Oreochromis niloticus: one gene and its partner. The protein of the gene in region 1 binds, or shares a complex with, the protein of each later gene. Links are inferred from orthologs where the notes say so. Each region holds a gene or a part of one and is shown on either strand. Other genes may lie near its edges.

Region 1 (6,956 bases):
AAAGCAGACTTTTACCAAGTCTGGCCTCCACCGGGTTGATGACATGTGCAAGACTGTCAGCGTTGAGCGTGTAAGCCTCGAGGCTGCTGTCAAAGCGCGGGGTCACTCCGAGCATGGTGTAGTACAAGGTCTGTAAAAAAGGAAAGGTTAACCTTAACTTCCAATAATTGAGCATCTTTTCTTTGTCATAATGGGGACTGCGCATTAACAGCACCTGAGAGTCGATGCTAAAGTTAGCCAGAGGGGACAGTTTTGTAAGCAAAGGCTGGATGTATGTCTGCACGGCACCCTCAATGTCCCAGTGCAGCTGGTGAGACTTTGGATCGGGGTTCAGGAGACTGAATGTGATCTCATAACCTGACAGGAAGATAAGAACAATCAGAGAAAAGATGCAAACGTGTTCTCAGAGTTAAACCTGGAGCCGAATTACCAACCTGGGCTAGATTTGAAGGCTCTCATGCTGTCAGCAATGCTCTCTTTGTTGCCAGGTCTAAAACGGACTCTGTCGCTGAGTGCAACGGTGATGTCAGTGTGGCTAAAAGACATCACTTGGAGCACCTGCTTGATCCGGGGCTCCAGCTGAGCCAGCAATTGCTCTAGTGTCTTGCCCACTCTCATCTGGGCACTGATACGCACCAGGGCTGTCCTTCGCTGACCGATATACACATTCACATCCTGAAAGGCATGAAGGTGCAGTGCATACTTTATTATCTTTGTCTTACCTGGAATATAACAGATAATTCATTCTGTTTCAAGCTTTGCAGATGGTACTGTATTTACACTCCGTGACAGTAAATTATATTATCTTCATTATCCTTTTTTTAAATAGTAATTAGCATGGAGTGATCACACTCATGAAATAAAATAAAAAAGCTTCAGTTTTACCTCAGGCAGCAAAGAAGAGGACTCCGGGATCACATACACAACTAAAGAACCGCACGGGCTCTCACTGAGCATATGCAGAGACAGATCTGCCTCTAAAGCAGAAAAATTAGCGTGATTATCAGCTGTGCTTTCTTTGAGAAAAAATGTCAAATGTCAACATCTGAAGTACCACAAGTTGGATATGATAGACTGCTGCTCACCTGCAGCAGTCGGCTTTTTCAGGGCATCTTCCTCCATGATTGTAGCTGTGCGGTACTTTGTTTCATACCTGTACCTCAACGTTGTGTCCTCTGGAAAGAAAGTTTGAGAGTCAAACAACCTTGCAGGCTTCATATTCTGTAACCGCAGAATTATAAACTGCACGAGCAAATCACCATCCACTGCATGTTCCTCATCCTGCGTCTGCGTTAGCGGGACCTTTTTCTGCTGTTCTGGCGTCACGGTGCCGCGTGCAAACACAACCTCGACATCAGCGCTCAAATGCAGCTGCAAAATAAGAAATAACGTAGAGAGAAGAATGTTTTTAAAAAGGTATTACACAGGGAAAATCAATCAACTACAAGGCATGAGAGATGTAATAAATGGAAACACTAAAAACCTGCAGTTTAGCCAGATCTTTGATCTGACTGACAGGTAACCAGGCACGGTACGTCTCAGTTGTTCGCCACCACAAAGGGACTCCCACAATGATGACAACGGCTGCTATGGATAGAGCAGCAAGCTGACCTCGTCGACGCTCTGGGAGACAAACACACAGTATTGTTGTTTGAAAGATTTTCACTGATGATAAATCTTCTAATTAATCTATCAATTAAAAACCAAGTACATTAAAAATTCAAGTATACATGTGAAATACACCCATCTTAAATTCAATAACAGCTTAATGGATTGGATTTCATATAGCGCTTTTCAAGGCACCCAAAGCGCTTTACAATGCCACTATTCATTCACTCTCACATTCATACACTTAGCTTAGTTAAAATAAATACTGTTTCACATTAAAATGACTAACTGTAACAATCGATCTATTACCAAAATAACTGCAAAAAAAAAACTTCGTTTAAACAGATAACTGACCAGTTATTTCAGCTCTAAATGCCAACATTCAAACCTAACTTGGGATTCAGGCTAAAACAAAATCAGATCATTTATATAAGCACTGGCAAACATAATCAGAGTTTACCATGGTGTTTAAACTAAAAAATACTCCATTGTTAAAAAACAAAATATTTATTTTTTATTCTCTTCTGGAAATCATTGAACAATATATTAAATATAATATATTAAAATAGGTTACACACACTCACTGGCCACTTTTTTAGTCACAATTTGACATCAACAGCATAAAAGTAGGGCTCCACCTTGTCTTGTATCAACAGTACAGGCATCTAGTGGTGTGACTGCTGTGGGGGATATGCTCTTGGCCCCTTAGCACCAACTGAGCCTCGTTTAAATACCTGAGTTATGTTGCTGACCATGTCCACAAGGGGTGGATATGGATCAAATCCAGTAGTCTCATGGTGTACCTAATAAAATGTCCGGTGACTGTATATCATGACAGAGGATTTTATCCCAATCCTTGACCCCTACGTACCCTCGATATGTCCAGACTGGTGACCACTGACTGAGTAACACATTTGCATCTGTGTCTATCATGCTGCATCAACTACAGTGCCTTACATGGTTGTAAACGAGGTTCAGTGTAAACATTAGGCATGTTACTGTCTTTTGTGGAAGCTTTAATATCGTAAGTATTCCTTTAATTAAAAATATATATTTAAAAAAACAAAACAAAAACAAATAATGTAGTAAACAGCAGGTGTTCTTGCAGTGTCAGGGCATCACCCCTGCAACTGCGGCTAGCTAGCCATTAGCTTCAAAGGGTCATAACATGGAGAAAACGGCTCCTGTTAGTCCGCTATGGTTGCACTCTGTACAAAGGTTCATGTTTAATAAATCTAACGTAAACCAATGAAAATTAAACACTTAATAAGAATTAAATCATTTACACTCATTTCAGTTACGAATCTACTCACCCACTTCCGTGATAGCCATTTCTTCCAATGAACTGGGAGGGAGCGCTAGTGGATGCCAAGCAGCCAGCAGCACCGATCACATGACCGATTTTTAAACGTATCTAAGCGGTTCTTCATGTGCGGGCCAAAACAGAACCGTGATTCATACACATAGCTTACATTAAATTAAATATGATCAAATATTTGCATATACACCTGTCTGTCCGTAAAATTCTAAAAAAGAGTGTTAGGGCTGTACGTTGTTTTGTAAAGGAGTGCAGAAGCGGAAATGACCGTCGGCGCACCCTGTAAAAGAATTAAACGCACAAACACACTGTGATAAATGTGGGCATTCAGCGCCACCTGTGGTAGCTTTAATTACGACAGGCTCAATTCATGTTTGTGAATGCATAAATTTCCCGAGCAACCACTAAAAGTGAGTAAGCTTAGTGTTATTTACACGATTAAAACATATGATCCTTAGTCTGCTGCCCCAGCAGCATGCCCGCAACATGTGGAAAAACAAGTCCACCACAGCCCTGCACTCACTCTCGCTCATGCATCCAACCACCACAGACACATTATAAAACTTCTGAAGATACCAGAAGTTCTGTCAGGTAAGGACACTAGAGGGACATCCACTTGCATCACTGTCATCTTCCTCAAGCTGTCTAGTAAAACCCTAATCTGATCTGTTAACCCTGGGATGTTTTATGGAAGTTAGCCAGGGCGCTCAAGGACACCCCAGAACAGGCAATAAGGGAGGAAACAGCTGCTCTCTCAGTTATGTATTTACCCTGATCTGATTTGTCCAGCTGGTCCTGGTGTGAAACGGATGACCTCATTACTTTTAGGTCAGCTTTGTTAAATTTGGGTGACTTGTGTGGTGACCCTTGGACACTACTGGACACCACAGATACCCTTTCATAAAGTGCTTATTTCATCTAAATAATTTTAAGAAACTGGTAGCCTCCGTACTGCTAGTGAAAATGGTAATACACATCTTTTGGACCCAACATAAGGTACACTTTAGACCTCATGAACTTTTTGGACCCCATTTTGACTTCAGAGCTGTCATAATTCTTTGTTGCATAAATTCAACAAGGTGGACATGGTCATCAGCAATACTGTTAAAGCTGTGATGTTTAAACAATAGCCAAAGTGGGCCAAGAAACTATCCTACACACCCTTACACCACCAGTTAGAACTGGTGATACAAGGCAGGATTGATCGGTGCTTATATATTGTTCATGCCAAATTCTGATCCTTTCATGTGACCATAGCAGCTGAAATCAAGACTGTCCAATTTTGGTGAGCCTGTGCCAATACAGTTTTCTCAAAACATAATATTTGCTTTCATTGTTATCCAGACGACTGTCAAGTTTATTTTCCACTGAAGCACACGGCTGAATGCTCTGTCCAGCCTCTCCACGACGGCCTTATCGATATCAGGAGATGGATGGTGATAAATCACTTGAATTTTAATGAGAACAAGATAGAAGTCACGTTGTTTAGACTCAACGACACCAGCAGCAACCCCCGCATTGACCTTTCCTCTATGGCCCCATATGAGAAATCCATTATCACTAATTTAGGAGTGACAATGGATCCTTCTCTAAAGCTCAAAGCTTATGTGAACACTGTAGTAATAGCATGCTATTTCCAATTGAGTTGACTGTCAAAGGTCAAGCCACTCTAGTCCAACCTTGAAACATTTATACTTGCATTTTATAACCTCTCGTCTCAATTACTGCAATGCACTTTTCATTGGAATCGGCCAGGCCAGTTGCTCACCTACAGCTGGTGCAAAACACTGCCGATCGATTTTTATCTGGTGCAAGGATGCAAGAGCACATCACTCCAATTTTAGCTTCCATTCACTGGCTTCCAGTTAGTTCATGAATCCATTTTAAAAATCCTTTTGTCTCTTAATGATTCTGCATCATTTTATGTCTGAGCTGTTGCACTCTTATGTCCCACCTCGTTCTCTCAGGTCAGCAGACCAGAGACTTTTGCTTGTTCTGAAGACACAACGTAAACACAGAGGTGACGGGACTTTCGAAGTTGCAGCTGCAGAATTGTGGAACGATTTTCTATATTTTTTTTTTTACCTTTTGGTCTGAGTTTGTCTTTTACATTTGGTGTTATTGTTCAACCCTGTAGTTGTTTTTAAAAGGGCTTTATAAATTCACACAGACTCACGGTCCACTGAAATAAGTTTCATCTGGTGTGGTCTTCTGCTGCTGTAGCACATGTCCTTCAAGCCACGTGATGTGTAGTGCATTCAGAGATGCTCTTCTGCATACCTTAGATATCGAGTGGTTATTTGAGTTACTGCTGCCTTTCGATCAGCTCAAAGCAGTCTGGCCAGTCTCCTCTGCCATCAAAGCATTAGCATCCAGAGAAATACTGCTCACTGGATATTTTTTCCTTGTCTTTTGGACCAGTTTGCGTAAACCCTGACCAAAGTAATATCCTACGTGCTACATTCTGATCTTTAGCTTTAACTTCAGCAGGTCATACCTACACGCCCTGAGCTGCTTCCATGCAACTGGCTAGCCAATCTGCAAGACTGAGCGCAAAACACATGAATTGGACTCAGAAAGGGGGTACATGTAGGCATATATACGCCTCCAGGAAACTGAAAATAAAGTTTAATTATGCAGATTAGTGTTGGCTATTTAATGTCAAATCATGATAAACTGATTGTGTTAAGATAATGATATCAACCAACTAAATATAGTTAAATACTCAAGATTTCTCTAAAATGTAGAGGCATTAAAGATTCTAAATAATGAAGTAGCAATATTTGACTAACATGCATAACTCTGTCATCGCCAGTATCAGGACAGGTGTAGAAAATTCCATCACACAAAAGCATCTGATGTTTTAAGGTTTTAGTTTATTTTTCTCCACTATTAGACACACCAAGTGCTTAAAGAACAGTATTAACACCACAAACGGCACAGTACTCCAACACAGCAGCGACCGTTTCCCCGCTGCTGACCCCACGCCATTGGTCCATTTAATGTGAATGTCGATAGAAACTAGTCTGGTCGTTCGGTAGGGCAGGCAGGGGGGAAATCAGGTGGGAGGATGACACACTAGCATCACATAATATTGACACCTTCACACAACTGAATACATTGATTACTGCATGTAATTTTAAGCTAATGAACAGACACACAAGGTGGTTGTTTTCAAATTCAATAATGGTGATAAGGAGCACAAGAACAAAAAAAGAGGAAGAATCCTGGTGTGTAGTGGCTTATTACAGTATAATGTGCCTGCTAACGTCTGCTAGATATACAGCTGTCTGAAAGCACAACAGAGCACTCCACGCTTTTGTTCAAAAGATCAACTCGGCTCAACATTTTCACCTCGTCTGCCCTGTCGCTCCTTAACGCATGTTCTGATGCTACTAATAAGCAGTTGGTCCCACTTGGTGTCAGTGCGGATGTTAGTAGAGCGTTTCAACAATGAACCAATGCTGTTCTGACAGAAGCGAAACACTGACACAAACATGCTGATCTGGCCTGCTTGGGAGCGATTTGATATTTTGTGTGAAGTGGGGAGAGGGGGTAAGAAAGCACCTGACATTAGAGACAAGTGTGTGAAAGAAGGAATGTGGAATGAATACTGACTAAACATTTTTGATTATCCTCCAACCGTTTAACTTCAAATTGTCTCAAAACTGTAACCGTTTGTTGAAACTGGGGGGGGAAAAAAAAAGAAAAAAAAAAATTAAAACAGACAGACGACCCAAGTCTGTTTCCTTTTAGTACTGTGATGTCACATGATGGTTTCAAATACACATATCTAATAATGTAACTTTAAGAACTCTAAAGTAAAGCAGACAGCACAGGCCTGTGATTGATGGAGGAGTGAAGAGGGGAGATAGCAGAGCAGATATAAGACTATAACTACACCACAGCTCAACGTGGTAGTTTGCCGTTTAATAGGCGTGATTAGCCACGTAGAGGGACTGGGCTGCGGCGGTGCCACTTCCGGAAGACTCGTACTTGCCGAGTGCAGCCAGACCGTTAGCCTGGAGAA
Region 2 (7,784 bases), on another chromosome or scaffold:
GGGCATCGAACATGAGAGGACAAGCACGCTCCTGGTGTCTCTGCTGATGCCTTTGGACTTCAAAACTGTGGACTGAGACTGAAACCTGCCGTTCAGGTTCTGGGTTGTACTCGGAGAACCAGCTCTCATCAACATCTGCCTCAACAAGGTTTGTGGGAGGCTTTACAATCAATTTGATCACATTTCAGATTTTAACCACCTTCTTCTTTAGGGGTTGTCACAATCATCTGCCTCCATGTCACCAGATCCCTAACATCCTCCTTCACTACATCTATGAATCTTCTCTGTGGCCTGGCAGCTCTTGTCCAACACGCATATTCCCTATCCATCCTCTGCACAAGTCCGCTCCACCTGAGCCGTCCCTCTCCAGTAATGAGACTGCCTCCACTACAAAATGCTTCAAAATGATGTTTTTATTCAGACTCACCATAAATGTGATCTCTGCGTAGTCCACCAAAAAGTGAAACATGTAGATGATGAGAGGAGTCTGAAAGGATCAGAGCAGAAGGAGAATTCAACATGAACATCTAAACATCAACATGCCTCATTTGTGGATTTTCTGCTGACTCAGATCTCAGTTGTAGAAATACACCATCTATGAGGTCCAAGCATGTAATGGAAAAATCAAGAACCAGGAGCAACTGAAACATCCGAGCATGTCTAAATAATTAAATAAGACATTTATTGTCCGTTTTCCACCAACACGGCACCCGAGCAGAGCAACTTCAGTGCTTTCTGAGAAACAGCTAAAGGTCTTTTTGGTGGAAATGCATGAAACTAGTTTTAGACTGAGCACCGGCACCTTGTTGGTGAAATGTGACATTCGAGAGGTGGTTTACAGATGCTACTCATCCTCCGAGTCTACCAACGGGCAGCCTTCTTTTGCTGATTGACTCTTGTGTTCTTTATTTAATACATTTTGTGTTTGTTGAAGTTAATTTTCTATCTCTGTGAACAAAGTTTGATGCGTTGACTTTTGGGCACCCCGATCTCGCTCTGGATGTTTTAGAGTATCGTGCCCTCCCCTCTTAGAAATCTTCGGTCCAGCCATGGCCCGACTCTGAGGAAGCCCCTCCTCCCTCAGAAGATCTGACTCTGACACTTTCACTTTGTTCTGATGATGCAGTTCTCACTATTACAATGCTGCTCAGTAAGCAAAGTTTTCACCTGGGTGTTACCTGAATGCTGCTTCAATGGAAATCTGACGTTTTGTAGAAAGAAGTTAAAGTTCCCTTCCACTGTGATGGTTCACCACGAAATGAGCAGAATCTGGAATGTTTCGTCTTTGTTTTCCAGACCATCTCCTTCTAATTTTCTGATTATTTTCAGGTTCATGTAACAAATATAACCTTCAATGTTCACACACACTTTGTAATAGGTGTGTGTGTGTGTGTGTGTGTGAGTGAGAGAGAGGGATTCACCTCATGGAAAACATCTCCAGAATATGGTGAAACTCCCAAATCAAGCAGAGCCAAACCTTCAACAACTGCAGAGAAACAGCAACAGAGAAACAGTTTTATTAAGACTGCTTGATTACAATAAAAATCACAACCACAATTATTTTGGTGACTATGGAAAATGTTTATTTTTGCATTTATGGAACTTCAACTTGGTGAATTTGGTCTGACATTTCGAGAGTGAAGCTACATTTTAAACCATTTTCACTCTATTCCACTATCATTAGAAGCCAAAATCATAAATGATGTTAAAATCTCCAACTTTTATTATTTTTTACCAGCACTGGGCTGTTATCTTTGAATGCCTCCTCTTGAAAGTAGCAGTTCCACAGCTTCCAGTTACAACTGCCTAATGAAAAATGCATGAAATGTTTCTGTGTGAGTCTCACAGCATGTTGGTCATGTTTTCTGTTTTACAGAAAAAGCTCAGATTGTCTGCAAACCTGCACCTCTGGCTCCTGTCAGGTACTGTGTCATCATATGCTAAATGGAAACTTAAACACTGTCCACTAACATTTCACAAATTCATCTAAAACAAAACCTTTGTCTGTGGTAACTAATGGAAAGCTGATATAAATATGTCAAATAATAAAGTCAAATCAGCGAGTGCCTCCCACTGTGAACCAGTTGATTTTTTTTGTACATTAATTATTTTCAGATATTTACTGGCCATCGAAGCACATGGGGTGGGGGTATGTGCATTTTCTCCATCACTTTGAGCCCTCATAACTCAACGATTACAGAAGAGGTAGTCAGTTGCTAAGGGTCAATTAACCAATTATTCATGGGGGTGTATATATATATTTTAGCCTGTTTGTATACTTTTGTCCAAATTAGGGTGTCTGCACAGTGGTGCAACTGTTAGCGCTATCACCTCACAGCAAGAAGGTCATGAAGGCAGGGGCCATGTGCCTGTTAGTGGTGATTTTAAATTGGCTGTAGCTGTGAAAATGAATTTTTAAACACTTGCTGATGTAACATTATACACACGTCAGCCAGATGTTTTACAGGTGTAACGTCTACGTTACTATGCGCAAATGACCCCGTGGAAACTAATGTGGATCACAGGAGGATTTAAAGGGGTCCACAAATACTATAGACTGTGCAGATCTTTGTTCAGCCGCTGGCAGAGACTCTGGTCGTCATTACTACTAGTGGTCGATGGATGTTTGACAGAGAAACAACCACTGAGCTCCATTCATTGGAAATAACAAAGAAACACTTGTTTAAATCTTCCCCTACAGAAAGTAAAAAGTATCCGCTGTTAGCTTAATGTCAGTAAAACATCATCAAGCTTTCTGAATTTGAATCTCAGCTGCTGATTTTCGCAGCTGAACCGGTTTGACCGAGTTACCGGATAACAGCACCGATGAGAGGGAGGTGAGGGGACCCGGACGTGAACCGACCGCAGCGGCTCCAAACCGCCGCTGGACCCGCGCTTACCTCTCTTCCAGGCGGTTATCGGCGACACCACCTCCACCCTCTCTGCAATCAGCTCCGCCAAACTGGACCGGAACAGAGCGGCACGGATCGTAACGGCCACAATCAACAGCAGAGTCAAGGGAGCCGCCATCTTGACAAGGAAGCGCTGTCCGCCCTGCGAGGTGCACGACGGGAAATGAAGTCTCCAAATGTGTAGGAAGGAGAGAAGGAACCACAAGTCCAGATAAATAAATAAATAAATAAATAAATGTACTCTAAAGCAAATGCTGGAAATTAAAGAAAAATTTATATAGAAATATGAATATCAAAAAAATAGACATACAGATAATGGGTGCATGTGTTATCTTTTTACATGTTTGCTTGATGTCAGCTGAGGATTCATTTTACATGTGAAACACACTCTGACAGACAGGACAAACACACAAAGCGGAACAATTGTTGTCCTATACTTGTTTTCATCCGGAGACTATTTGTGTTGGATCAAAACAAAAAGCCGTACACAGTGAGCCACTACGCTTCCGCTAACCGTGCGGTTATTTCAAAAACAAAATTGACTCTGTTAAAAAACATAAATTTACTTTTTTCTGATCAGGTTAGGGTTCATTAAAATAGCTTCACACAAAGAATACAATAGCAAGCATAAAAATGCCATCTGAAAATTCATCAACTGACATTTTGGGGTCAAAGATCTCAAACTTAAATGAGCTGTGGGCCACTGCTGGCACTGTCATCTCATCCGAGGGCCACTTTAGTTTTCAAGTGGTACAAAAACTAACAAACAAGAAAACACCCACAAATATCTTAGAAAATGTAGTGTTAATTTGTTCGTTTGGTTTTTTTTATTTCAAATATTGTATAAAAAGGCAAAACTGCAAACGTGAATGTATTTTTTCCCTCACTCTTCATTAACTGAAGCCTTTCATTGAACTACCAAATAAACAAATTGGTACTCTCTTTCTGGCCAGACACATGGCAGCACTTCTGCCATAATTTTGTTCATATTTGACAAAATAAAAATGCAGACATCAGTGTACACATTGGTTTTTGACTGCTAGTGAAAATTGTTAAATAACTCTCTCACTAAACCAACAAAACCAATCCCTCAACATGTTTGTACTCTCTGTTCATGTTGCCTTCATATTAAATCATTTTTAAATATATAAATATATATAAATAAATACGTTCAAGGGCCAAATTGCATTATAATTCTTCATGTCAACATATGGGCCCAAAGTAGATGTGACGTGGGTCACAAGTGGCCCCCGGCCCGCGGGTTTGAGAAATCCTACTTTAGATTAACAGTTATACAGAGGTATAGGCTCTATTAAGATGTAATGAATTAAAGTAGGGAAGATTTCAACATTATTACAGTTAACCCAAACAAAATAAAAAATAAACCCAGGTACGAGAAAAATATTTTAGTTTGGTGCATTGGTGCACATGTTTTGTAAGGCTGAGAAACGCAACACTTCATGTCTACATGACATGAAGTGTTGAGTGTGTATTTTATTACTTCGGCTAAATTTCCCTCTTACAAATACCCCCACATTATAGTCAAACTAACCCAGAAACTAAGAAAAACTAAACTGAATAAGAAAACCTAATCTGAGAGCGAATCAAAATGAAACGTAATTGAAGCTAGAAATAATAAATGAAATAGAAATAAAGAGCAATGAAAAAAGTTAATACCTCACATAATATCACTGGATATTTTTATTTGCAGATAGGTACCGTTTGGTCAGCTCTCTGGTGCTTTTAAACTGAAAAGCCGCGAAGCGGAAATGGTTCCTGTTGCTTGGCACCGAACTGCAGCTTGACTCAGTGAAGCTGCTGGCCAGACTTTCGTTTTCATTTCTTTTGCCTGAAACTGTACCGATGTTGGCAGATTGAAGGAAAACATGGCTGGCTTGGAGGTGTTGTACACCTGTGTCGCAGGTAAGATAACCTGCCCGCAGGACGCCGTTGTGTGTTTTGTTCACTGGGAGCTGGTAAAGAACGGATACAGGTGCATCGGCTCAGGAGACGAGGTGAGTTCGCTTATTTTAGCTAAATCTTGTGTTAAATTATCCCACATAATGGAGAAGATAATATTTTCTTTTTTCATCATTCTTACGCCAAATTGAGAAATACAAATTAAATATTAGCAAAAAGATTCTCTATATGTGGTTTTCGATGTTTTTCGGACCGTAATGTCCAGTAAATGCTTAAAATGTCGGTTTTTGCAGTGGAGTTCTGTATGTAATATTCAACGTAGATTAGCTATAGCTTCATAAACAAGCATCACCTCCTGTGTGAAGCCGACGTTAACGCGAAGAATTTAAAAGTGTGAAAAATGCGTTTTCGGTTTCTTTAATCCAGCTGTCATGGCTGATATTCAGTTTGACGGCATCTGGTTTAAGAGCGACAATTTACCAAAACTGTCATGTCATCTTTAGCTGGCTAACCCACTGGGGGCAGTCATCCTGAAACACCACGGGAGTTTATGACACAGATTCGTGTTAGTGTGCAGCCTTGCTATCCTCCATCCTCTCCCCATGTTCATTTTACAGAAATCAACAGGTAATCAGTAGTATTTTTTTTTTTTTTTTAAATGAAGCATTTATAATGGGATTTAACGTGAAAAGGGAAGCGTTCGGCATCTCTCTGTGATTGTTTTATATAAAATCACTCTGGAATGACACCTGCCATTTAGTAAACAGGAAGAGTAAGTGACCCACTTATAAAATGAAACATTTTTCTTTATTTTGAACATGATGATTTGGTGAAAAGGTGTTTTTTTTTCTTTAGATATAAATAATGACAAATTGTTATGCACCTAAAAAATGAACTCACTCTACTGGATTTTTATGTGTATCATTATTGTTGTTATATTTACTTTTTCCACATTAGTTTTTTATTTTATTATGTGTAATTTTTACGTTATTGACCAATTTTGTTTTGTCACATTTTAATTATAGAGTTGATCTTGTTTATGTTAGCTAGTTTTTGTCTGTTTTACTGCAGCAACACAAGAATCTGCAGTTTATTTACAATTTTTTACAACAATCTTACCTTTGTGATGAGATTAGTATATGTCATATCTAATAATAGCACATATTTCTTGCTGTATATTTTAAGTATTGTTTTGTTATTTGCAGTGAACTGGCCAAATACTGATAACAAATATTGTGAAAAGAAAAAGCAGGTTTCTGCTGCTGCTTTTAGGTTTTTATCTGTCTTCACGGCGTCTGTGACCTTCTTCCTCCAGGCCCGCAGCAGTGATAAGAAGTCCGAGCTGCTGCCTGCTGACTGGAGTAACAACAAAGAGCTATACAGTCTGCGATACAAAGCCAACAACAGTGACACCCAAATGCTCCTCAAGGCAATCACTGTTGATTCCACCTTGATCTTCAATCTGATGGTAAGCACATAAACATTTGTAGGACTGGTCTCATTAGTTTTCTAGATAATGGCAATTTAAAATAGTGCCTTAAAAATGTTGGTAGTGTGTGGGGGTTTTCTCTCTATTAATGACAACAGAAACCTGAAACTTTGCATAACTCCCCTTAAGAAGAAGAATTTTTCCTCTGGATTATTTTTTCATTGGAGAACTGACATAGACTGTGCAGTTTATCCTGCATTTCAGTCCTGATGTAGGGATCCATGAAAAGCCTTAAAAGGGATCAAGTCTGATTTTCTAAATTTGAATCTTACTGTTCAGAGCAGACATCACTGCAGCCAGGGGTGAGGTCGCAAACACTTTACTTTTAAATTTGTATTTTTTTTTCGGTCCAGTCGAGTTTGTATCGATTAAAATGTTTAGATTAGTTTAGTGTTTAGTTCAGTGCTAGTTTTAGTTTTTGTCATTCATATACAGGTCGTATTACTGCACCGTAAGACTGGAGAAATGTAGATCTATGCAAAGATCTGACACACAGTTGTGTAAACTAAGAAAATATGATTTAGGTTGAGTTTACTATTTGCTGGTTTGTTGAGATATTATTCTACATGTTAATCTATCCTTTTAATGGATCGTGTGTGTGTGTGTGTGTGTGTGTGTGTGTGTGTGTGTGTGTAGAACTCCAGCACGCAGCAGGTGTCAGACTTAACGGTGAACATCAACGACCACGTGAACACTGACCAGCTACACACATTTGACAGGTTATTTTATTGAGCTGCTCTACTTTATTAAGCTTTTATTCTATTGACTTATGTTGTTATGATTATTTTAATTGTTGTGTTACTATTTTGGATCCTGTATAAATAATAATAAAATATGCCTTGTCCTCAGCCTGCCTTATACGGTTGTCTCAGATTGACCCCACCGACTTGTTGTTCAAATCTTTTATTTGTTGGAGAAAGCCTATTATAAAAAGGTTGTCTGAAAGGGAGTTTGGCCTTGAAGGGCAGTTTGTTTGATAACTAAAGATTATTTTGCATTGTGAATCATGCTGAGCTACTCTGGTAGTCAGAAAATAAAAATATAGAGCTGGAAAATAAATAAAGTCATCTCTCTTCTCTGCAGTGTGTTCAAAGATGCAGACAGTTTGTCGGAGAAGGTGAAGACTCAGCTGCTGCCCCCCCAGGACAGACCGACAGGACAGAGAGCAGAGAGGAAGAGTCGGCGGGATGAGGAAGAAGAGGAGCAGAGAAGAAGAGGAGAGGACAGTGACCCCCTCCGCATTCCCAGCAGGAATCCTCGCCAGGGGACACACCCTCACTGGTTGGTGATGATATAAACTGTGCATGCAAAACTTTACCACAAAACTCAGATTTATTCATAAACTTATCATTAAATATGTACATTTTAGAGGCAAATATTGTCACGTGTGACACGCAGTTACATATTTGTAATTTTCCTGGTTTCTCTCTCTTTTGCATTTGTGGAAAAAAGAGGATACTGCC

The links. Proteins that work in one complex are often made in the same cells at the same time.
Region 2: the proteins of pigs (region 1) and pigu are in contact, whole or in part, in a cryo-EM structure (PDB 8IMX), measured with the Homo sapiens proteins. The link is inferred for Oreochromis niloticus from reciprocal best matches to the Homo sapiens genes PIGS and PIGU. Residues at the interface, in NP_149975.1 of Homo sapiens: Ala4, Gly5, Ala8, Thr9, Glu12, Arg15, Arg18, Ala19, Phe22, Phe23, Val26, Leu30, Leu34, Trp35, Thr38, Thr39, Leu510, Leu511, Phe513, Ile521, Tyr522, Leu525, Phe526; in NP_536724.1 of Homo sapiens: Gln118, Phe282, Glu283, His284, Phe285, Leu287, Phe288, Phe289, Cys291, Val292, Phe293, Ile295, Phe299, Tyr300, Ile302, Pro303, Ile306, Lys307, Lys309, Glu310, Thr417, His418.

What each region holds. Positions count from the first base shown.
Region 1 is NC_031975.2:13,898,330-13,905,285, forward strand, and holds the start of pigs (GPI transamidase component PIG-S), read right to left. Parts: upstream 3,084-6,956; 5' UTR 2,941-3,083; coding exon 2,922-2,940; intron 1,624-2,921; coding exon 1,484-1,623; intron 1,372-1,483; coding exon 1,260-1,371; intron 1,176-1,259; coding exon 1,086-1,175; intron 978-1,085; coding exon 886-977; intron 676-885; coding exon 435-675; intron 358-434; coding exon 215-357; intron 131-214; coding exon 16-130; intron 1-15. Other genes in the region: aldocb (fructose-bisphosphate aldolase C-B), read right to left, coding at 6,856-6,948. UniProt on the Homo sapiens protein: Component of the glycosylphosphatidylinositol-anchor (GPI-anchor) transamidase (GPI-T) complex that catalyzes the formation of the linkage between a proprotein and a GPI-anchor and participates in GPI anchored protein biosynthesis.
Region 2 is NC_031970.2:5,252,243-5,260,026, reverse strand, and holds the start of pigu (phosphatidylinositol glycan anchor biosynthesis class U protein), read right to left. Parts: upstream 3,088-7,784; 5' UTR 3,031-3,087; coding exon 2,901-3,030; intron 1,487-2,900; coding exon 1,422-1,486; intron 488-1,421; coding exon 428-487; intron 1-427. Other genes in the region: psmf1 (proteasome inhibitor PI31 subunit), read left to right, coding at 4,799-4,927, 6,148-6,300, 6,958-7,040, 7,405-7,602. UniProt on the Homo sapiens protein: Component of the glycosylphosphatidylinositol-anchor (GPI-anchor) transamidase (GPI-T) complex that catalyzes the formation of the linkage between a proprotein and a GPI-anchor and participates in GPI anchored protein biosynthesis.